Elephas maximus indicus: one gene and its partners. The protein of the gene in region 2 interacts with the protein of the main gene of each other region in a pairwise test. Links are inferred from orthologs where the notes say so. Each region holds a gene or a part of one and is shown on either strand. Other genes may lie near its edges.

Region 1 (6,871 bases), on a different chromosome or scaffold from region 2:
GTCATACAAGTCATGAGAAGCAAGAGTTCCTTGAAGGAGGGGAAAGTCAATTGTGTCAAATGCCTCTACTGAAAAAGGTCTACCAGAATTGGCACCATGGAATTCAGTGCTGTCCTTGGTAAGTCTACTGAGTGGTGGGGGTACAAGTCATATGGTATTGAGCTGCAGAATAAATAGAAGGTAAGGTGGTGCAGAGAGAAATAGACAAAATTAGGAGAACATTGCAGGTAGAGGAGCGGCATGAGCAAAGGCAAGGAGACCCCCCCCCCAAAAAACAAACTAGGATGTTCCAGGGACCTCAAGCAAATCAGAGTGGCTCGAGCTTTGAGGGTGAGGGGAGGAGGAACAGCTAAACACAATGCTGAGAAGGGAGACAGGATGTGAACAGCTTTGAATGCAAGGACAAAAAGATGGAAAACTATTCCTTGAGTACCTTCTATGTCCTTGGAGTTCTCACTTACATTATCTCACTTAATGGTCCTTAGGCCCTGTGGATAAGGTAAGCATTCTTATCCTCAGCATTTTTCCCAATGAGAAAATAGCTATTCAGGGAAGTTAAACAATTTATTCATGGTCAAAACCAAAATCAAACCCATTACCACTGAGTTAATTCCAACTCAGAGCAACCCTGTGGGACAGAGTAGAGCTACCCCATAAGGTTTCCAAGCCTGTAATCTTTATGGAAGCAGATTGCCACATCCTTCTCCTGAGGAGCTGCTGGTGGGCTGGACCTGCTGACATTTTGGTTAGCACTTAACCACTGCACAACCAGGGTTTCTTACTCAGGGTCATACATCCTATAAACAATGGTATCCCAATGTCCCTCTGATATAGGCAGAGCTGGGCAATCGCCCTGCCAAGTGATACATTAGATGGGGAGAGCAGGGTGGGGATCACTTTTACCCTGGTGGGTAGTGGTTAAGAGCTCGGCTGCTAATCAAAAGATTGGCAGTTCGAATCTACCTTTCGCTCCTTGGAAACCCTATGGGGCAGTTCTACTCTGTCCTATAGGGTCGCTGGGAGTCAAAATCAACTCCACGGCAACGGTGTTTTGTTTTATAGTGTCAGGGGAGCCCTGGTGGCACAGTGGTTAAGAGCTCAGCTGCTAACCAATAGGTCAGCAGTTCAAATCCACCAGACACTCCTTGGAAACCCTATGGGGCAGTTCTTTTCTGTCCTGTAGGGTAGCTATGAGTTGGAATCGACTGATGACAACTGGCTTGATTTTTGGTTTATAGTACAGGGTCACTATGAGTCAGAATCAACTCAACAGCAGTGGATTTGGTTTGGTTTGGTTTTAGTGTCAAGCAGATTAACCAAAGCAGAGAAAGCATAGTCCAAAAACCAAAGCCAAGTGCAACAATAGTTCAAGAGCCAAATGGGTCTTAGGTTGCCAGAGCCAAGAGAGCTTAAGTCTACAAAGTCAAAACCTCATTCAGTTAATCATAAGAGGTAGAGCTTGATCAAAGGCTGAGGAAGGCCAGGAAACTTCAGAAGTGGGCAAGCAAGCAGCTAATCCTCAAACCTCCAGCCTAGCTGACATTCAGTTCCTGGGGACTGGGAGACAGGCGAGAGGTGAAGTGATAGGCTTAGTAGAGTTGAAGGACTAAACAGGCCCTCTAGAGAATAACAAGATTGAAAATGTTTTGTAGAAAGGCTATTATAAAGCCTCTGTGAAGAACAGCCTTGAGATTTCAGATCATAGCACTTCCTTGCTCTTTTCCGTCTCTAGGCGCCGCAGGGAGAGGAGCTGCCGCCATGTCTGCCTGTTTGCGGTGGATGGCGGTGTGTAACTGCTCCAGTTTCCTGATCAAGGGAAACAAGCAGACTACAGCACCGAGCCCAGTACCCAGAAGGCCTGCAACTCTTTCCGCTACAACCAGCTGACACACCTCAAGACTGTGGGCGTGCAGCCGGCAGCCGAGGGCAAAGGGGTAGTGGAGGTACTGAAGCGCAGATGGGCCAGCAGAAGGCAGCCACCTCCTACGTACGACCACCATCAACAAAAACGCCTGAACCACACTCAGCACCATCTGGCACGTGATCTGCAGGAACAAGTACCTCCTGGATCTGTGCATGGCTGCCTGTGCATGGTGATGGTGCAGAGGAAGCGAACTGTCCCACCAGGGGTTCCTGAGCGCCCCCCATACCCCGCCCCAGAGCAATAAAAATAACTTTTCTCTGAAAAAAAAAAAAAAAAAGATAAGCTCCTCTTTGATCTTGATCTCCGGTGGGGAGTAAAGACAGTTTGGTGTCCGTCCGTAGATTCAACTCACCTCTGCAGAGTGGTACATGGATAGGACTGGCTGTACTTGAGGAGTTACGCTTAATTTGCACCCTAGAGGGGGAAAATATGAAGATTCCATAAGCCCAGTGCCGTCGAGTTGTTTCCGACTCATAGCGACCCTAAAAGACAGAGTAGCACTGCCCCACAGAGTTTCCAAGGAGCGCCTGGCGGATTCGAACTGCCAACCCTTTGGTTAGCAGCCGTAGCACTTAACCACTATGCCACCAGGGTTTCCGAAGATTCCATAGAAGAGCACAACATGCAGACCTGGATATTCAAGGAAGCAGGAGCTATAAGGTAATCCAAGGCAGGCCAGGTGCAAGTATTAAGTGCTTGCTTTATAAGTCTTTTCATGGTTATACTGCTTTGTGATTCATTGTTCCTTGTTTCCTTTGAGGCACACAGCCACTCTCTTAAGTAGGTATTATCCCCCACCCACCTCTCCGATTTTTTTTAATGGATGAGGAAATTAAGGCTGGGGCAAAGAAAGTGCTCAAAGTCATACCTTGGATGGAGGTCCGAATTGGAACGTGAATTCAGGATTTGCATTATGCAAATTCTGTGTCTCTTTCTTGCTGTGGGAGAGCAATTGGTCAGGGAAGGCTTCATGGAGGAGGTGGTGCTTGAACTGCCCAAGTGGCAGGGAACCAAGTACAAAAGGGTGACAGGGTCCTCTGGACAAAGGCACAGAGATGCAACACAGCACCACCAGTTAAGGAAACAAATCATAGTTCCTAGAACTGAGCACCCTAAGGACACCCTAAGGACAGGAGTCCAGCTTCTAGAATGGAGCCTGAGGCTTAGCAGGTGCTCAATAACTATTGGTTGAAAAAAACGAGCATCTGAAACATAGATTCTGTATAGGAGAGTAGCTGGTGGCCAGGCTAGGAAGTTGGGCAGGAGTTAGAAGATGCAGAGCCTTGTATACAACATGGAAGGTGGGAGAAGGAGGAGGAGAGAGGACCAGGTGCACCTGTTGTGACGAAATGGAGAACCAGCTGGAAGGTGGCTCCAGGAGAGCTAAGAGGAAAGCGTGAAGTAAGCCAGGGTAGGGAAGAGAAAGGACAGAGTCAAGAGACATTTAGAGGTCAGGCTCCACGAGGCCTGGCAACACCCTGAAGGAAAGGGGTGACATATACCCGTCTCCAGGCAGAAAGGCAAGAGCAATGGAGAGACCAAGAACGGTGGCTGTTCAGGGAACAAGTGTGGGTGGTGGACACCCCCACAGGGAGCCTGCAATCTCAGCAGTCACTCCGGGGGTTGCAGGCCGGAGAGGGAGGGGCCACCCGGACTGGAAAAGGCATTAGCAACCTGCCAGCGCCCGGTTAACAAAGGCGGGACTACAACTCCCAGCATGCTCGGCCCGGTGGGGTGACGGCGGGCGGTGGCTGCGCTGCACCGGACTGGCGGGCGCAGGACCTGGGTCGGCACCGGAGCCTGTCATCACCGAGGCTTCGCGGGGGTGCGGGGCCGGCGATGCCCGGCTCCCCGCCGCACAGCGGCCGCGCCCAGCTCGCGTCTCCGGCCCCGCGGCCCCGCCCCTGGCCCCACCCCAGCCGAGAGGCTTCGCCGGGGCCGCAGCGCGGCGGCAACATCACTCTCGCGCCGCTGCTCCGCCCCATCCCCTTCTGTTTTTCTCTCATTCTCGGGTGGCGGCGGCGCTGAAGGCGGAGGCAGAGGCAGCAGCAGCCGCCTTGGCTGCAATGAATGATCCCCCAGCCGAGGGGGAGGACTCCAGGTGAGCCTCTGCCCTCGGGAGGGCCGGGACCCCCCGCCGCCCAGGATCCGCTGCCTCCGCTATGGATCCCTAGAGCAAGGAGGAGGAGGAGAAGACAGCTCTGCTGCCCACCCCCATCCCATTTTCCTCGTCCTTTATCTCATTGTTGCGGTCGCTGTTTACCGCAGCGCTGCCTCTGCCCCAGCATGGGGCGGGCTCCGGGCACTGCCATTCGGCCGGTAGTGCTCCTGCTGTTCCCTCGGCTGCCCGGGGATTCTGCCTAATTCTACCCCCCTGGCCGGTGCAGCAACGACCGGAGAGCAGTGGAGGCCCGGACTGCAGCAGCGGTGGTGCCATCTCCCCGCATCCCCACCCTAGGAGGCTGCAGGCGGATTGAAGATCGACGCCTGGGGGCTGGGCTGGCCCCGCGGATCCGGACCTAGGGAGGAGGACAGAAAGACCGTCCAGGCTGCAGAGGGGAGCGGGGAGGGGCAGGAAGGGCAGAGCAGCAAAATGGCCAGTAAAACCAAGGCCAGCGAGGCCCTCAAGGTGGTGGCCCGGTGCCGCCCCCTCAGCCGGAAGGAGGAGGCTGCTGGTCACGAGCAGATCCTAACCATGGATGTGAAGCTGGGCCAGGTGACCCTGCGCAACCCCCGCGCTGCCCCGGGGGAGCTGCCCAAGACCTTCACATTTGACGCCGTGTATGACCCCAGCTCCAAGCAGGCAGACCTCTATGATGAAACTGTGAGGCCCCTGGTAGACTCGGTGCTTCAGGGTTTCAATGGTACCGTGTTTGCCTATGGGCAGACAGGCACTGGCAAGACCTACACCATGCAGGGCACCTGGGTGGAGCCCGAGCTCCGTGGGGTCATCCCCAATGCCTTTGAGCACATCTTCACCCACATCTCCCGCTCCCAGAACCAGCAGTACCTGGTCCGGGCCTCCTACCTGGAGATCTACCAGGAGGAGATTCGAGATCTGCTCTCCAAGGAGCCAGGCAAGAGGCTAGAGCTGAAGGAAAACCCTGAGACGGGTGTCTACATCAAGGACCTCTCCTCCTTTGTCACCAAGAATGTCAAGGAGATTGAACATGTGATGAACCTGGGGAACCAGACCCGAGCAGTGGGCAGCACACACATGAACGAGGTCAGCTCCCGCTCCCATGCTATCTTCCTCATCACGGTGGAGTGCAGTGAGCGTGGCTCTGATGGCCAGGACCACATCCGTGTGGGCAAGCTCAACCTGGTGGACCTGGCTGGCAGTGAGAGGCAGAACAAGGCAGGCCCCAACACAGCTGGAGGGACAGCCGCCCAGTCCTCGGGGGGCAGCGGTAGCAATGGAGGCAGTGGTGGTGGTGGAGAGAGGCCTAAGGAAGCCTCCAAGATCAACCTGTCACTGTCTGCCCTGGGCAACGTGATTGCTGCCTTGGCAGGCAATAGGAGCACACACATCCCCTACCGGGACTCCAAGCTCACCCGACTGCTCCAGGACTCTCTGGGGGGAAATGCCAAGACCATCATGGTGGCCACACTAGGGCCAGCTTCTCACAGCTATGATGAGAGCCTTTCCACCCTGCGCTTTGCCAACCGAGCGAAGAACATCAAGAACAAGCCTCGAGTGAATGAGGATCCCAAGGACACGCTGCTGCGGGAGTTCCAGGAAGAGATTGCCCGCCTCAAGGCCCAGCTGGAGAAAAGGGGGATGCTGGGGAAGCGGCCCCGGAGGAAGAGCAGCCGCAGGAAGAAGGCTGTGTCTGCCCCAGCAGGGTACCCTGAGGGGCCAGTGATCGAGGCCTGGGTGGCTGAAGAGGAGGATGACAACAACAACAACCACCGCCCGCCCCAGCCCATCCTGGAGTCAGCCTTGGAGAAGAACATGGAGAATTACCTACAGGAGCAGAAGGAGAGGCTGGAGGAGGAGAAGGCAGCCATCCAGGACGACCGCAGTCTGGTGAGTGAGGAGAAGCAGAAGCTGCTGGAGGAGAAGGAGAAGATGCTGGAGGACTTGTGGCGGGAGCAGCAGGCCACAGAGCTGCTTGCTGCCAAGTACAAGGTAAGGCCCCAGAGGGAGTGGTGGACTCGAGAAGTCCCCAGGGGTCTGTGGGTCTTTGAGGATCTGTGGCCCGGCATGCAGTGGGGTATCCTCCCTCAACATCACACACTGCTTTCCTGCCAAATGTACTCCTGGAGCAGCCAGGCAGATTCCTGTGATACCAGACTGACAGGCAGAGCCTCCAGGGAGGGCTTGGAGGGGACACACACACACACACTAAGCAGAGCAGAGCAGACAGGTGGTCTCAAGCCAAAGAGCTTGGGTGGTGACCTGCTGCCTGTCAGTCTCTAGTGGTAGCCCCAGTATGAGGTCAATGGGATGGCCAGGCTCATCCTCTCATGAGTGGGGGTTCTCCTGACTAGCCTTCTCCCCTGTACCTTCCTTCCTCTACTGCATCTTCAGACCTGACATCATTTTAATGATATCTGACATTTGGATAGCACCTCACAGTTTACAAAATGTCCCCACGTACATGATCTCATCTGATCCTTAGAACAGCCATCCAGGTTGGCCGTTCTTACACCTCCATTTTACAGATGAAGGATTAAGACTCAGAGAGTGACAGGACGAAGGGTCCATTTTACAAGGTGGCAGGGCTGAGCTGGAACCTGTAGGCCTCATGTTTGTTCAGCTCTTGGGTGGCAGAATGGAACCATGAGTGGATCCTGTTCCCTGTGAAAATTGTCCACTGGGCCCATGTGTGGGGCCCATTGCTTTGTGTCATGGGAAGGAGATTCAAAGGGATCACACAGGAGGTAGGGTAGAAAGAGCACCAGCATGTATAATGGAGACCTGGAGTCTAGTCCTAGCCATTC
Region 2 (7,653 bases):
GGTGGTCCTTAACCCCGACTGAACTTTAGAATCACCTGGCTATAATAAATGACCATGTACTCCTATGGTAAATGACACATACACCTACGGTAAATGACCGTATATTCTGGTGGTTTTTCAGAATTTCCCTATATCTTGTTGCAAGGTACCCTTCTTCAGACTTTTGTCACATTATATGCCTTTGTGTCTCCAGAGCTTGACCTGGTCTGTTATACATAGTATGTGTCAATAAATACTTGTCATTTTAGTGGTAGTAATATCACTCACCAGGTTTTCCTTTAATATCACTCATCTGCCCCAAAACCTTCCATAGCTTCTTACTGTCTACGGATGTAGATCTTAACCCTTCTTATGTCACAAACTCTTTGATAAGTTGATTAAAGTTATCTTAAAAGACAAATAAAAAACAGATGGAAACAAAATTTTGCACATATTTTCAAGGGTTCCATGAACCACCGAAATCATCCATGGACCTCTACAGGGGTCTGTGGGCCCCAAATTAAGAATAAGTCACCCAAAAGTGACAAGCCCATATTCCTAAGCCCAATCAAGCATGCTCACATTCATTCTGTCCCATAACACACCAACTTTTAAGCACAGCTATGGGTTTTCACCCCCATGAGTCTGTCAGTTTGTTGTACCGTAGGGGCTTGTGTATTGCAGTGATGCTGGAAGCTATGCCACTGGTATTCAGATACCAGCAGGGTCACCCATGGAGGACAGATTTCAGCTGAGCTTCCAGACTAAGACAGAATAGGAAGAAGGACCCGGCAGTCTACTTCTGAAAAGCATTAGCCAGTGAAAACCTTATGAATAGCAGCAGAACATTGTCTGATATAGTGCCGGAAGATGAGCCCCCCAGGTTGGAAGGCACTCAAAAGATGACTGGGGAAGAGCTGCCCCTTCAAAGTAGAGTCGACCTTAATGACACGGATGGAGTAAAGCTTTCGGGACCTTCATCTGCTGATGTGGCACGACTCAAAATAAGAAGAAACAGCTGCAAACATCCATTAATAATCAGAACATGGAATGTATGAAGTATGAGCCTAGGAAAACTTGAAATTGTTAAAAATGAAATGGAATGCACAAACATTGATATCCTAGGCATTAGTGAGCTGAAATGGACTGGTATTGGCCATTTTGAATCGGACAGTCATTTAGTCTGTTATGCCAGGAATACAACTTGAAGAGGAATGGTGTTGCATTCATCATCAGAAAGAACATTTCAAGATTTATCCTGAAGTACAACGCCGTCAGTGATAGGATAATATCCATACACCTACAAGGAAAACCAGTTAATATGACTATTATTCAAATTTATGCACTAACTACTAAGGCCAAAGATGAAGAAATTGAAGATTTTTATCAGCTTCTGCAATCTGAAATTGATTGAACACGCAATCAGGATGCATTGATAATTACCGGTGATTGGAATGCTAAAGTTGGAAACAAAGAGGAAGGATGTATAGTTGGAAAAGATGGCCTTGGTGATAGAAACAATGCTGGAGATCGAATGATAGAATTTTGCAAGACCAACGACTTCTTCCTTGCAAATACCTTCTTTCACCAACATTAACGGTGACTATTTTTTTTTTTTTATACACATGGACCTTGCTAGATGGAACACGTGGGAATCAAATCAACTATATCTGTGGAAAGAGATTATGGAAATGCTCAATATCATCAGTCAGAACAAGGCCAGGGGCCGACTGTGAAAACGGACCATCAATTGCTTATATGCAAGTTGAAGCTGAAACTGAAGAAAATCAGAGCAAGTCCACGAGAGCCAAAATATGACCTTGTGTATATCGCACTTGAATTTAGAGGCCATCTCAAGAATAGGTTTGACACGTTGAACACTAATGATCAAAGACCAGACGAGTTGTGGAATGACATCAAGGACATCAAACATGAAGAAAGCAAGAGGTCCTTGAAAAGACAGGGAAGAAAGAAAAGACCAAGATAGATGTCAGAGGAGACTCTGAAACTTGCTCTTGAACATCAAGCAGCTAAAGCAAAATGAAGAAATGATGAAGTAAAAGAACTGAACAGAAGATTTCAAAGAGTGGGTCGAGAAGACAAAGTAAAGTATTATGAAGACATTTGCAAAGACCTGGAGACAGAAAACCAAAAGGGAAGAACACGCTCGGTGTTTCTCAAGCTGAAAGAACTGAAGAAAAAATTCAAGCCTCAAGTTGCAATAGTGAAGGATTCTATGGGGAAAATATTAAGTGACGCAGGAAGCATCAAAAGAAGATGGGAGGAATACACAGAGTCATTATACCAAAAAGAATTAGTCGATGTTCAACCATTTCAAGAGCTGGCATATGATCAGGAACCGATGGTACTGAAGGAAGAAGTCTGAGCTGCTCTGAAGGCATTGGCAAAAAACAAGGCTCTAGGAATTGATGGAATATCAACTGAGATGTTTCAACAAATAGATGCTGTGCTGGAAATGCTCACTCGTTTATGCCAAGAAACATGGAAGTCAGCTACCTTGCCAACTGACTGGAATAGATCTATATTTATGCCTATTCCCAAGAAAGGTGATCCAACCGAATGTGGAAATTATAGAACAATATCATTAATATCACATGCAAGCAAAATTCTGCTGAAGAGCATTCAAAAGCCACTGCAACAGTGTATCAACAGGGAACCACCAGAAATTCAGGCTGGATCCAGAAGAGGATGTGGAACCAGGGATATCATTGCTGATGTCAGATGGATCCTGGCTGAAAGCAGAGACTACCAGAAGGATGTTTACCTGTGTTTTATTGACTATGCAAAGGCATTCGACTGTGTGGATCATAACAAACTACGGATAACACTGCGGAGAATGGGAATTCCAGAACACTTGATTGTGCTCATAAGGAACACATACAGAGATCAAGAGGCAGTTGTTCAGTCAGAACAAGGGGATACTGAGTGGTTTAAAGTCAGGAAAGGTGTGTGTCAGGGCTGTATTCTTTTACCATACCTATTCAATCTGTATGCTAAGCAAATAATCCAAGAAGCTGGACTATATGAAGAAGAATGGGGCATCAGGATTGGAGGAAGACTCATTAACCCCCTGCGTTATGCAGGTGGCACAACCTTGCTTGCTGAAAGTGAAGAGGACTTGAAGCCCTCATTAATGAAGATCAAAGTCCACAGCCTTCAGTATGGATTAGACCGCAACGTAAAGAAAACAAAAATCCTCACAACTGGACTAACAAGCAATATCATGATAAATGGAGAAAAGATTGAAGTCAAGAATTTCATTTTACTTGGATCTACGATCAACACTCATGGAAGCAGCAGTCAAGAAATCAGAAGACGCATTGCGTTGGGCAAATCTACTGCAAACAACCTCTTTAAAGTGTTGAAAAGCAAAGATGTCACCTTGAAGACTAAGGGGTGACTGACCCAAGCCATGGTATTTTCAATCACATCATATGCATGTGAAAGCTGGAGAATGAATAAAGAAGACCGAAGAAGAACTGATGCCTTTGAATTGTGGCGTTGGCAGAGAACATTGAATATATAATACTGCCAAAAGAATGAACAAATCTGTCTTGGAAGAAGTACAACCAGAATGATCCTTAAAAGCAAGGATGGCAAGACCGTGTCTTACATACTTTGGAGAAGGACATCGTGCTTGGTAAAGTACAGTGTCAGCGGGAAAGTGGAAAAGACTCAACAAGGTGGACTGACACAGTGGCTGCAACAATGGCCTTCAGCATAGCAACCATTGTAAGGGTGGCACAGGACCTGGCAGTGTTTCGTTCCGTTGTGCATGGGGTCACTATGAGTCGGAACCGACTCCACCGCACCTAACAACAACGCGTTTTCGCTCACAAAATTCTTACCATTGAAGGGACCTTAAAAAAAAAAAAAAGGGACCTTAGCCCTCCTTTAATTCTAGCAAGATCCTTCCCATCCCTCCAGAAGTCTTACTGACCCTTTCTCTTCACCACACACTCTCCCACTTCTGAACTTCTGCAACACCTTTGTGCTAAGCCCCCGGCACTTGGCATATTCTGTTGTATGATGCTATTTTTTACAGGAACATGTTTCGTCTTCCTGACCGGAGGTAAGCTCTGAAGAGCAAGAAACCATTTCTGGCACTTCTTTGCTCCCACTGTCCTGTAGCGGGTGCTACATAAAGGTGCTGCAACAGCCTCTTTGAATCAGTCAAAGAGAAGCAGCGAAGGAGGTGAGTGTAGCTGGTCTAAGAGCTTGGCAAGGATTATCATCCTGGAACGGAACCGCCTTACATTGGGTCACGGATCTGGAAGCAACCAATCTAGTGTTGAACGTGGACTCACAGCTCATTCTTCGAACAGCTGCTACCACTGATACCTTTCCTAGTGTCACCTCGCATCTCTCCCTTTTCCCCTCACCTTTTTTTTTTGTATAAGTTAGTTCTCTCATTCATCCATCGACTCCCACTCATGCATCTGGGGGCGCCCTCGTGTACACTTAGGGCCTCACAGCTTCTCCTTCGCTGTGACACCCGTCCTCCCAGCGCACTTCCCCACTTGTCTTCCTCCAGAAACTGAGCGAGAGTAAAAAGGGAGTTTTCCATCCAGGTACAGGGAGAAGGGCTGGGCCCTGGTCCGGCGCGCCCGCTGCCGCATTCTGCGTGAGTGTGGGTGTGTGTGGGGACGAGGGCTGGGCAGGATGCCGCTGGCCGTAGAGGAGGAAGCCGGCTCCCCTTCTTTGGCCGCCCTTTCCCCACTTCCCTCCCAGCTCGGCTTGGGTCTCTGGGGGAGCCGGGGCGGAGGAGGAAGAGGTCGAGGAGGAGGAGCCGGCGACCTGGAGCCCACCCCCGCGGCCGCTGGCAGCAGAGAGGAAGCGACGGGGCGGCGCGGCCGGGCCATGCTGGGCGGGGGTCCCCCGGGCGCCCCGGGTGGCTGGGCCGGGCGCTGGGAGCGACCCGGCTCCGGGAGCCAAGGCGCAGGTAGGAGAGCGGCGGGCCGGCCCCGGGCGGTTCCCCAAGCGACCCCTCCGCGTGCCCCGTGGCTGGGCCCAAGGAGGGACCCCGGAGGGAAGAGTCGGAGAGCGCGTCGTGACCGCCGAGGGAGTCATGCGGGCCGGGTGCTCCCTGCTAACTCGGGTTCCGTTCAGCCCTCTCGAGGGAGGGTGGGAGGAGAACTTGGTCCCGCGTGCCGCGCCCCGCGCCGGACCAGTATGTGTGCGCTCAGGGCGAAGCGGAGGCCCGGGTACGACGGCGCGTCAGGCCCGCTAGTACCGCGGCGAGGCGTGTCCGACGTGTACAGGGGCGAGTTTGTGTTTCGCTCCTTCACAGGCACCGCCGCGGCCTGAGCGCGCCCTTCGCTGGCGCCCCGCACTCGCCGCTGGCAGACGCGCGCGGCCGGATCCGACGGGCCCTCCTCCGCGCGCACGGGGCGCGCTCTCGCCGGTCCCGCCGGGAACCTGGAGGGAGGAGGTGGGGGTGGAAGGAGGAATGCGGCGCTGGCACCGCCCCAAGGGCCTGCTCTGTCAGTGATTTCACCGCCCACTTCCGATTTCGAGGCGGTAACGCCAGGATCTGAGGTTCTTTCACTGTCCCCCACGCTCCTCCCTCCGCCCGCGTGTGACAGTGTCCGTTTCCACTGTCAACTCTAGTGATAACCCTGAAGTCGTTAAGGTGGATGGTTGCTTTTCAAGAATGACCGGGCTTGTGGACGTCTCACTCTTCAAATAGATGCAAAGGAATTTGAGGATCTCCGGAGATTTAGAGTCAAAAGAGCTGCGTGGTGGTTTTGCTGGATCAGGAAAGAACTTTACACGAGTCATGAGTCACGTAACATCTCTGAGCCTGGGTTTCCTCAGATGTAAAAGGAGAGAGCTAATACCTGCCCTCCGTGGCTCATAGATTGGTGTGTGTGAAAGCACTTTGAATGTATACCTGTTTCACAAATGTCAGTTGGACAGCCAAACCATACCAGACCCATTGCCATCGAGTTGATTCCGACTCATGGTGATCACGTAGGAGCTTGCCCGGTAGTGTTTCCAAGGAGAGGCTAGTGGATTCAAACTGCTGAATTTTTGGCTAGCAGCAGAGCTCTTAACCACTGTGCCACCAGAGCTCCAGTTGGGCAGCACCAATGTCCTAATAACTGGTGTTTGGAGACAGTTTGCCTACATTCCAATCCTGGACTTCCTGTGCCTCAATTTCCTTATTTGTTAAATGGGCACTCTGACCGTACCTCCCTCATAGGGTTTGTGAGGTTTCAATGAAATGACTAGGTGGAACACCTAGCCCAGTGCTGGAGATATACAGTAAGCTCTCAAATAAACAAAAAACAAAACAAAAAAATTTACTTTTACCACACTCAAATAAACAAAACAAAACTCCTAAGCTGTTATTTTTTCTAAAGCAAAATAATTTGAAGTCATGTGGAAATATCAGTTTGAGTCGATTAAAGTATGAATAGCAGGATAGTTGAAAAGCAATTCAGTTTTATCACATTCAGGGGCAGAGGCTGTAAATGCAGTCATTTGGGGGCACTTAATCTTTGCAGAAGTAGACTGTCACATCTTTCTCCCGGGAGCAGCTGGTGGGCTCCAGCAGTTCTACTGTGTCCTATAGGGTCACTAGGAGTCAGAATTGATTCTGTGACAACAGGTTTTTTTGTTTTGAGGTCACGGTTGAGAATCTGTGCCACCAAGCAAAAGAGCCCTGGACAACCAAAAAAGCCAAAGCAAACCCATTGCCATGGAGTTGATTCTAAATCATAGCGACCCTATAGGACAGAGTAGAACTTCCCCATAGGGTTTCCAAGGAGAGGCTAGTGGATTCGAACTGTTGACCTTTTGGTTAGCAGCTGAGCTAGCGCCTCCTTTCTGGGCAGTGTGACCTTGAGCCTCACTTTTCTCATCTGTTTAAAAAAAGATAAAAGAAAAATGGGAATAGTAATTATGGCCTTTTGTACTTAAAGAGGTGCTGTGAGGATCAAATGAGGTAAAAGATCTGAAAGCACCCTGTAGACTGAGTTGCCACACAAATATAAGACATTAGTTTCTAATAGGGAATAACAATACCAAAAAAATCCAAACCCGTTGCTGTTGAGTTGATTCCGACTCATAGCAACCCTATAGGACAGAGTAGAACTGCCCCATATGATTTCCAAGGAGCGCCTGGTGGATTTGAAAGGCCAACCTTTTGGTTAGCAGCTGTAGCTCTTAACCGCTATGCTACCAGGGTTTCCAGGAATAAAAATACCTGCAATTTTTTATAAATTTATAATGTGTTAGGCACTCTATTATGAATTCCTTTGATAACATACTCCCCCAAAATGAGGTGGGTGTTACAATCCTCATTTTCCCTATGGCAAAGCTAAGGTTCACGGTCACCCAGCTTTTTCCCAAGGTCACATAGTTATTAAGTGTAGAGCTAGAATTAGAACTCAGCTGTATTCTCAGTCACTGGCTGCACTGAAGTTATCAGGCTAAGCCATGGTTCATAGCAGGCCTGTGTTAGATTATAGATCATGGTACATCATACTAATACAGACCAGTTGCTGTCATTTGATTCTGACTCATGATGACCCCATGTGTATCAAAGTAGAGTTGTGCTCCATAGGGTTTTCAATGGCTGATTTTTCAGAAGTAGATTGCCAGGCCTTTCTTTCAAGACACCTCTGGGTGAATTTGAACCTCCAGCCT
Region 3 (7,165 bases), on a different chromosome or scaffold from region 2:
CACAAAGAGCGCCTTTCTGAGAATGCCTCTGTCATCTAACCACGTCAGCCACAAAATCAAACACCGTAGTTTTGTCACTTTACGAGCAAGAACCTCTTAGAAGTCCTGAGAATTTCCACCCACTGGCACTTCTGGCCTGTTCTGGAGGGTTTGCTGATTGGGACTGGGCAAGCCGCTCTTTGCTGCCATTTTCCTCCTCATAAAAGGTGGAAGATGGTTAAGCGTTTTGAGATTCTTGGATGGAAGAGGGCGACGTTGTTCTGCCTTGTTTGTTTTTTCAAACTTTAGTTACAGATGGTAGTGGCTTTCCCCTGCTCTGCCTCCTTATTCAGTAACCCCTATCTTTGCCTGAAGTAACAGAATCTGCTCCTGCTGTCTGGAGGGTTTGTGCACCATTTAGGTTAGCAAACCACACAGTGAGCCTCAGGCTTAAAAAGACACTCGTTATTATCCTGAAAACCCTATCAAAGGTTTTTTTGGTTCTTCCTTGTTGCCCCTTCTTAAAAAATGAGCTCAGAACAGTGGATATCTTTCTTTCTTTTTACAATTGGTTGGGGCTTTTTTCTTTAATAAATTAATGTCAAAGTTTATGTTTGGTAAACTTGTGTTCACACGCCAGATTAGCTGATTTTGCTCCCGTGTTCTCCACTCAAGCTGAGAGCTCAAGTGGTTTTGATGAGGAATCAGGTTTAGGATCAAAGGGCCCTGGAGGGTCCCTGCAGATGATTTTCCAGGTGGGGAACCTTGCATGTGTCCAGATTGCTCTGCTAAGGTCCTTAGGACTAGGGCCCTGGCTGTGAACTTCACTCAGAGGATTTGCTAGAGCTCTGCCCTTCCTTCCTGAAGTTAACAGACAGGGTAAGAGATATTTAGGCAAAGGCTGACCCTGCACTGGGCTGTGAGGCTGTAGCCCTGTTAGACACTGCTGGACTAACACAGTGACCAAAATACCAGGGGTTATTCTCGGGTAACTACAGTCAGGTTGGTGTTTACTTTTTCATTGTGACTTTAAATTCTTGGTCCTGAGACCAAGTCCACAACTTGCCTTGTAGTCACTTGGCTCTCCTTCAGTGCATTTGATACGTATAGCTGGTCAGTCTGGAGCCTATCACCAGTCTTTCTGTCCTGGCTTGGCCAGGTCCATGCAGGAACAGCTTAGCCTTGAGGCCCAGAGAATCACTATTTTTCTCCTTGAGGGAGGAAATACAGCTGGGGAACATGATGTCCTTCCACAGCATGGGAAGAAGAAAATAAAACTTTGCAACAGCTTTGACTTGTGTGCGTGGCAGGAAACATTTTCCTCTGGGAGTGGAACTGGGTCTCCATTTTCAGTGAGAACCTTTGAAGGACTTGACCTGGGTCTCTGTAATAGAATGGATGGGACAGGCTGCCACCGGAGTCATTCTGCCATGGCCTCTGCAGTGCCAAAACTAGGGCAGTGTTCAGTAAATTCAAAACCAAACTCATTGCCGTCAAGTCAATTCTGGCTTATAGCAACTCAGTAGGACAGAGTAGAACTGCCTCATAAGGTTTCCTAGGCTGTAAATCTTTGCAGAAGCAGCCTGTCCCATCTTTCTCCCATGGAGCAGCTGGTGGGTCCAGACCACCAACCTTTGGGTTAGCAGCTGAGTGCTTTAACCACTGTACCACGCCACTAGGGTGCCTCACTTAAGTCTCAGGCACCTGCATGATCATCAGGCCGGAGGCAACGAGAAGTCTTGTGATAGAGCAAGAGGAGGACACTCCCCAGGGGCCCTTAGTTACTCTTTAGAAGATTGTATAAGGGCTCAGGGGCTCTCGCTGGCTTTGCCTGAAAGTTTCGACAACTTCCTGTATTTCAGCACTCATGGTTCCCAAGGGGAAGGAAGAACCACTCATTTATCCCAGCATCTAGTATTCCTTGCATATCTCTGATGCTTCAAAAATAGTCCTTGGTTTCATCTGTCAGTAAAGAATAGTGAAGTCCCCTGAGGAAGCAGGATGATACAATGGAGATAAGGGCAGAGAGACTGGGAGGTCAGGATCCCAAGACCTGAGTTCTAATAGTAAGAATAGCAACCATTTACTGAGCACTGACCGTGAAGCAGGCACGTACTTTACCTGTATGACCTCATTTCATCCTCAGAGGATAGGTACCATCAGCAGCCTCATTTTACAGACGAGGAAATTGAGGCTCACAGAGGTTAAGTCATTTAGCCAAAGTGTCCCAGGTAATAGTAGAGCCAGGATTCTTTTCGGTTTGGCTCCCAAATCTGTCTTCTAACCCCACCCGGAAACCCTGGTGGCATAGTGGTTAAGAGCTACGGCTGCTAACCAAAAGGTCGGCAGTTCAAATCCACCAGGCGCTCCTTGGGAACGCTATGGGGTGGTTCTACTCTGTTCTAAAGGGTTGCTGGGAGTCAGAATCGATGGCAACAGGTTTGATTTTTCGGGTTTTAACCCCTACCCTGGAGTCCGTGGGTGGTGGGAATGGTTAATGCGCTTGGCTGCTAACTGAATGGTTGGAGATTCAAGCCCACCCTGAGGTGCCTCAGAAGAAAGGCTTACTTTGAAAAATCATCCATTGACACACATCAATTGACTTGATAGCAACTTAAAAAAAAAAAACTACATACTGCCTCTAGTGGGAGCTGGGTGACTGGGCAAGATGCCTCATCCTGTTAGGCCTCAGTTTAGTATTGTTTAAAATTTGTTGGGCTAGATTGAATCAAGTCAAAAAATGGTCTGTAGTTCTCCAGGACAGTGCTTCCCAAGTGTTTTTTTTTTTTTTTTGACATCATAGCCGTGGTAGAAATAACTATATGGCACACTGATGAATGGAGGAGGAAACCAGGCCTCTGCTGCAGGCAGGGGATGAGGGCACGGTTGGGAGGTTTCCCAGCACTCTACAGCTCCATCATAGAGAGCAAGTCGCTGGCCCAGACTGAGACAGCCGCACCCAAACACACCAACCCCCAGCAAAGGGACATGGTTCTCAAGCTTCTCTCCTCACAGGGTCACTAGGATGACTTCGTGGGAAGTTGGTCATGCTTGGGAGTGACAGAACTGGGAGTTACTGAAACTATCCTAGTGCGAGAGATGCCAGGTGAATAAAGTCTCCCCGTGTTCTCAGAGGAATTGCATCTGCATAAACTGGAAGAAATTCCTGCTTGACTGCATACTTTTAAATGAGTGGCAAACACAGTTTAGCAGAATGGATATTGTAAAACACAGGTTGGGCGATAAAGTTACGCACAAGGAGTTGAGGGTGAGGACTTCGCGCTGGGCCTCGACGGTAGGGGGGCGTGGGTCTAGTGATCTCCCAACTGAGGTCCGAAGATTTAGCGCCCTCTCCCCGCCCCTCTCAGCTACTGGAGGGCTTGCAGTAGTGAATGCACATATGTAATGACATTTCCCTTTTGACATAGTTTTATCCTAGGGACTCCCTCGGAGCCCGCAGAGGACCCACCAGAAGCCAGTCAGTGAATGATGCCCGCGGCCCCGGGTGCTCTTGTCTCTCTTGAATTCATGTCATTGCCTCAAAGCATTTTTATTGCAGTTAACATTTTGTTTGCCGTTTTTCTTTGCTGTAGCAACAAGGCTCCCCATTATTTCTGGGGGCAATTTTATTAGCTATTAGTGGTTATCTCTAGCGGACAGTCAGCTGTCCGTGTGGGATCGCTCGGCAAGATAAAGGGTTGCACTAGGTAACTTCCAGGGCCCTTCCAGGGGGGAAGTCAACCCCATGTGTACAAACAGAACAAAAGATGGGCGGAGGAACTTGGGGACAAAGAGCCCGGCCTGGCGTTGTTTCGTCACGTCAATGAGGAAGGGAAGGGGCCGGGCCCTAATGCCACTGTTTGGGGCGCCCTGGGCTACAGCTGCCCGGAGACGGGTGCTGGCGCGGTCGTGGGTGCTGGGCGGCCCGGACTGAGAGGCCGCCCCAGCCGCGCGTCTCCGAGAAGGGGCAGCGAAGGGCCGAGGCCGGCGGCGGGAACCGCGCTGACAGCTCTGGCCCTTCCCGCGCGGGCCTGGGCTACGTCACGGAGCAGCCCGCCCACCTCGTCCTGATCCAATGGGAGCCCGAGACACGTGTAACTCTCCATGCCAGGCCCAATCAGCTCGACGCGCGCTCCCGCCAGCATCTCGCGCGATAACCGGGCGGCTTGGGATGAGAGGCTTCTGTCCCCGCCCCTCGGCTGACTCCGGAAGCGAGGCGACCGAGGGATTCCTCCGCTCTCCGGGGCGCCGAGCGTCTAATCTTAGCAGCCTTGTAAAGTAGTGCGCCTCTTTCTTTTCGCGAGGCCTTGAGAATAGCTCATTTTCTTTTTACAGTTACGTCCTGGACCTAAAGACCGTGGGTTGGAAAAGATCAGGGAGTCAGATAGGCGAAACCTCGGAGGTAAGAGGCGAAGGTCACGTGGCCAGGGCGGAGGAACATGACTGTGGTGCGGCCCGCGCCGGCGTGTATAAAGGGCCCGCGAGGGCGCGGCGGCCATTTCTCCTCCCGCCTTCAGATGTAGAGCAGAGACGTAGCCCGCGCCTTCCCTCCCCGCCCGCAGGGTCCGCAGCCGTCATGGCGTATTAGAGGCAGCAGTGCCTGCGGCAGCGTTGGCCATTGCAGCGGCGGCAGCAGCACCAGGCTCTGCAGCGGCACCCCCCAGCGGCTTAAGCCATGGCGTAAGTACCGGGGTGGGGCCCGCTGGCCGGGCGTCCCGGGCCGGGCGGACGTGGCTGGGCCGGGCGCGGTCCTGGGGCCGGGCGGCGTCGCGGGGGCAGGAAGCTGTTTTACGAGGCGCCGGCGCCGCGGGAGCCCTGCTGGGTGTCCCCGAGACGCCGGCGCCCTGGGTCGGGGGGAGCGGCCGGCGCCGTCGGCCGGCGAACGTGGCAGGAGCCAAGATGGCGGCGGCGGGGCGGGGCGGGGCGCGGCGGGGGCGCCGTGGCCGGATTTGGGCAGCGCGGGGAGCGCCTTCCCCGGGGCGGGGCGCCGTGGCCGGATTTGGGCAGCGCGGGGAGCGCCTTCCCCGGGGCGGGGCGCCGTGGCCGGATTTGGGCAGCGCGGGGAGCGCCTTCCCCGGGGCGGGGCGCCGTGGCCGGATTTGGGCAGCGCGGGGAGCGCCTTCCCCGGGGCGGGGCGGCGGCCGTATTTGGGCAGCACGGAGAGGGCCTTCACCCCGCGGCGGGGCCGGCTGAGCCGGGACGCAGCCAAGGGTGCTCGGTGCCTCCGAGGCCACGTGCGCCCCACTCTCCAAAGCCAAGCGGGCTTCCCACGCGGCCGTCCTGTCTCAGGGCAGAACGATGAGGTTCCCAGACGAGCCCGTGTCTGATGGGCCTTCGTTCCCGGCTCCTTGCAGGCTTCTCACGGCATTCAGCAGCAGCATTGCTGTAACCGACAGAGACACCTTCGAATTAAGCACATTCCTCGATTTCAGCAAGGCCCCGCGTTATGGCCGAGATGAGCTTCCTGAGCAGCGAGGTGTTGGTGGGGGACTTGATGTCCCCCTTCGACCAGTCGGGTTTGGGGGTTGAAGAAACCCTAGGTCTCTTAGACGACTACCTGGAGGTGGCCAAGCACTGCAGAGCGCATGGGTTCTCCAGGGACAAGGCTAAGGCAGGCTCCTCCGAATGGCTGGCTGTGGACGGGTTGGTCGATGCCTCAGACAACGGCAAGGGTGAGTGGCTGTCCTTATCCCCCGGCGTGGTCTGGGTCACTTGTGCTTGGGGAGAGTTGATGCCACTTTTTTGTGTCTTGTAGAGGATGCCTTCTCCGGAACAGATTGGATGGTGGAGAAAATGGATCTGAAGGAGTTTGACTTCGATGCCCTATTGAGTCTAGACGACCTGGAAATTATGCCAGCCGAGCTTTTGGCCACGTTGGATGACACCTGTGATCTCTTAGACCCTTTAGTCCAGGAGACGAATGAGCCCCCCCAGACATTGAACCCAATTGGTCATCTCCCAGAAAGTTTTCCCCAAACTGACCAGGTTGCCCCATTGACCTTCCTGCAACCTCTGCCCCATTGCCCCGGAGTCCTGGCCTCCACTCCAGACCATTCTTTTAGTTTAGAGCTCGGCAGTGAAGTGGATATTTCCGAAGGAGATAGAAAGGCAGATTCTTTTCTGTATGTTACCGCGGTCCCTCAGTGCATAAAAGAGGAGGAGGCCCCTTCAGATAATGACAGTGGCATCTGCATGAGCCCTGAATCCTGTCCAGGATCTCCCCAGCACAGCCCCTCCACCTCTGGGGGCTCTCCAGATAGGAGCCTGCTGTCTCCACCTGCTCTCGGTGGCTCTGCTCGCCCCAAACCTTATGATCCTCCTAGAGAGAAGGTGGTAGCAGCAAAAGTAAAGGGAGAGAAATTGGATAAGAAACTGAAAAAAATGGAGCAGAACAAGACAGCAGCCACTAGGTACCGTCAGAAAAAGAGGGCAGAGCAGGAGGCCCTCACGGATGAGTGTAAGGAGCTAGAAAAGAAAAACGAGGCTTTGAAGGAGAGGGCGGATTCTCTGGCCAAGGAGATCCAGTATCTGAAAGACTTGATAGAAGAGGTCCGCAGGGCCAGGGGGAAGAAAAGGGATTCCCTAGGGTAGTCAGGAACGGGTGCTTGTATATAGGAGGCTTGCGCTGAAGCTGTGTTGTAATAAATTATTTTGTAGTGAAAGTACTTATGTAGATGTGCTGTGTATCGTAAGTTTTTTTGATTTGTGGCTAAAATGATTCACTTAACCCTTCCAGGAGTGGGTTCTGGTCCTTCATGGGGTCCAGGGGTGGGTGAGATCATTACTGAGGATCACAGGTTTGATAGGCTGTTTGGGTGGGGTGGGTCATGGAAGGTGATGGTTTCCATTGGGTCCCCGAGTTTCAGGCAAAGAGTTGGGCTTGAGCCCAACAGCTGGCTGGGTGTTTTTCTGGAACTGAACTCTTAGGGTTTCTCTTACCAGTAACCCATTGGGGTGGGGCTGGAGAGTTAGCCCTCAGGACTTACGGGACAGCTGGGAGGGCAGAACTTCCTGGTCTTGTTGACACAACCTTGGCTGTATTTTAAGCTTTGCCAGCTCTGTAAGCTGTTTCCCTGAAGGGAACCTGTTCAGACAAAAGGCTTCAGATTTTAAAGTGGGCCTGGAGGGCTGAGAATTGTCTCAAATGACCAATCCCAATGCGGTGGAGTGGAATGGACGAATGCCC

The links.
Region 1: the proteins of DISC1 (region 2) and KIF3C interact in binary tests that used the Homo sapiens proteins (3 or more experiments, as listed by UniProt). The link is inferred for Elephas maximus indicus from reciprocal best matches to the Homo sapiens genes DISC1 and KIF3C.
Region 3: the proteins of DISC1 (region 2) and ATF4 interact in binary tests that used the Homo sapiens proteins (3 or more experiments, as listed by UniProt). The link is inferred for Elephas maximus indicus from reciprocal best matches to the Homo sapiens genes DISC1 and ATF4.

Annotation. Positions count from the first base shown.
Region 1 is NC_064830.1:44,033,709-44,040,579, reverse strand, and holds the start of KIF3C (kinesin-like protein KIF3C), read left to right. Parts: upstream 1-3,858; 5' UTR 3,859-4,517; coding exon 4,518-6,056; intron 6,057-6,871.
Region 2 is NC_064842.1:32,964,905-32,972,557, reverse strand, and holds the start of DISC1 (disrupted in schizophrenia 1 protein), read left to right. Parts: upstream 1-4,634; 5' UTR 4,635-4,662; coding exon 4,663-4,942; intron 4,943-7,653. UniProt on the Homo sapiens protein: Involved in the regulation of multiple aspects of embryonic and adult neurogenesis. Required for neural progenitor proliferation in the ventrical/subventrical zone during embryonic brain development and in the adult dentate gyrus of the hippocampus.
Region 3 is NC_064822.1:183,485,911-183,493,075, forward strand, and holds ATF4 (cyclic AMP-dependent transcription factor ATF-4), read left to right. Parts: upstream 1-4,470; 5' UTR 4,471-4,659; intron 4,660-5,333; 5' UTR 5,334-5,425; coding exon 5,426-5,651; intron 5,652-5,734; coding exon 5,735-6,570; 3' UTR 6,571-6,652; downstream 6,653-7,165. UniProt on the Homo sapiens protein: Transcription factor that binds the cAMP response element (CRE) (consensus: 5'-GTGACGT[AC][AG]-3') and displays two biological functions, as regulator of metabolic and redox processes under normal cellular conditions, and as master transcription factor during integrated stress response (ISR).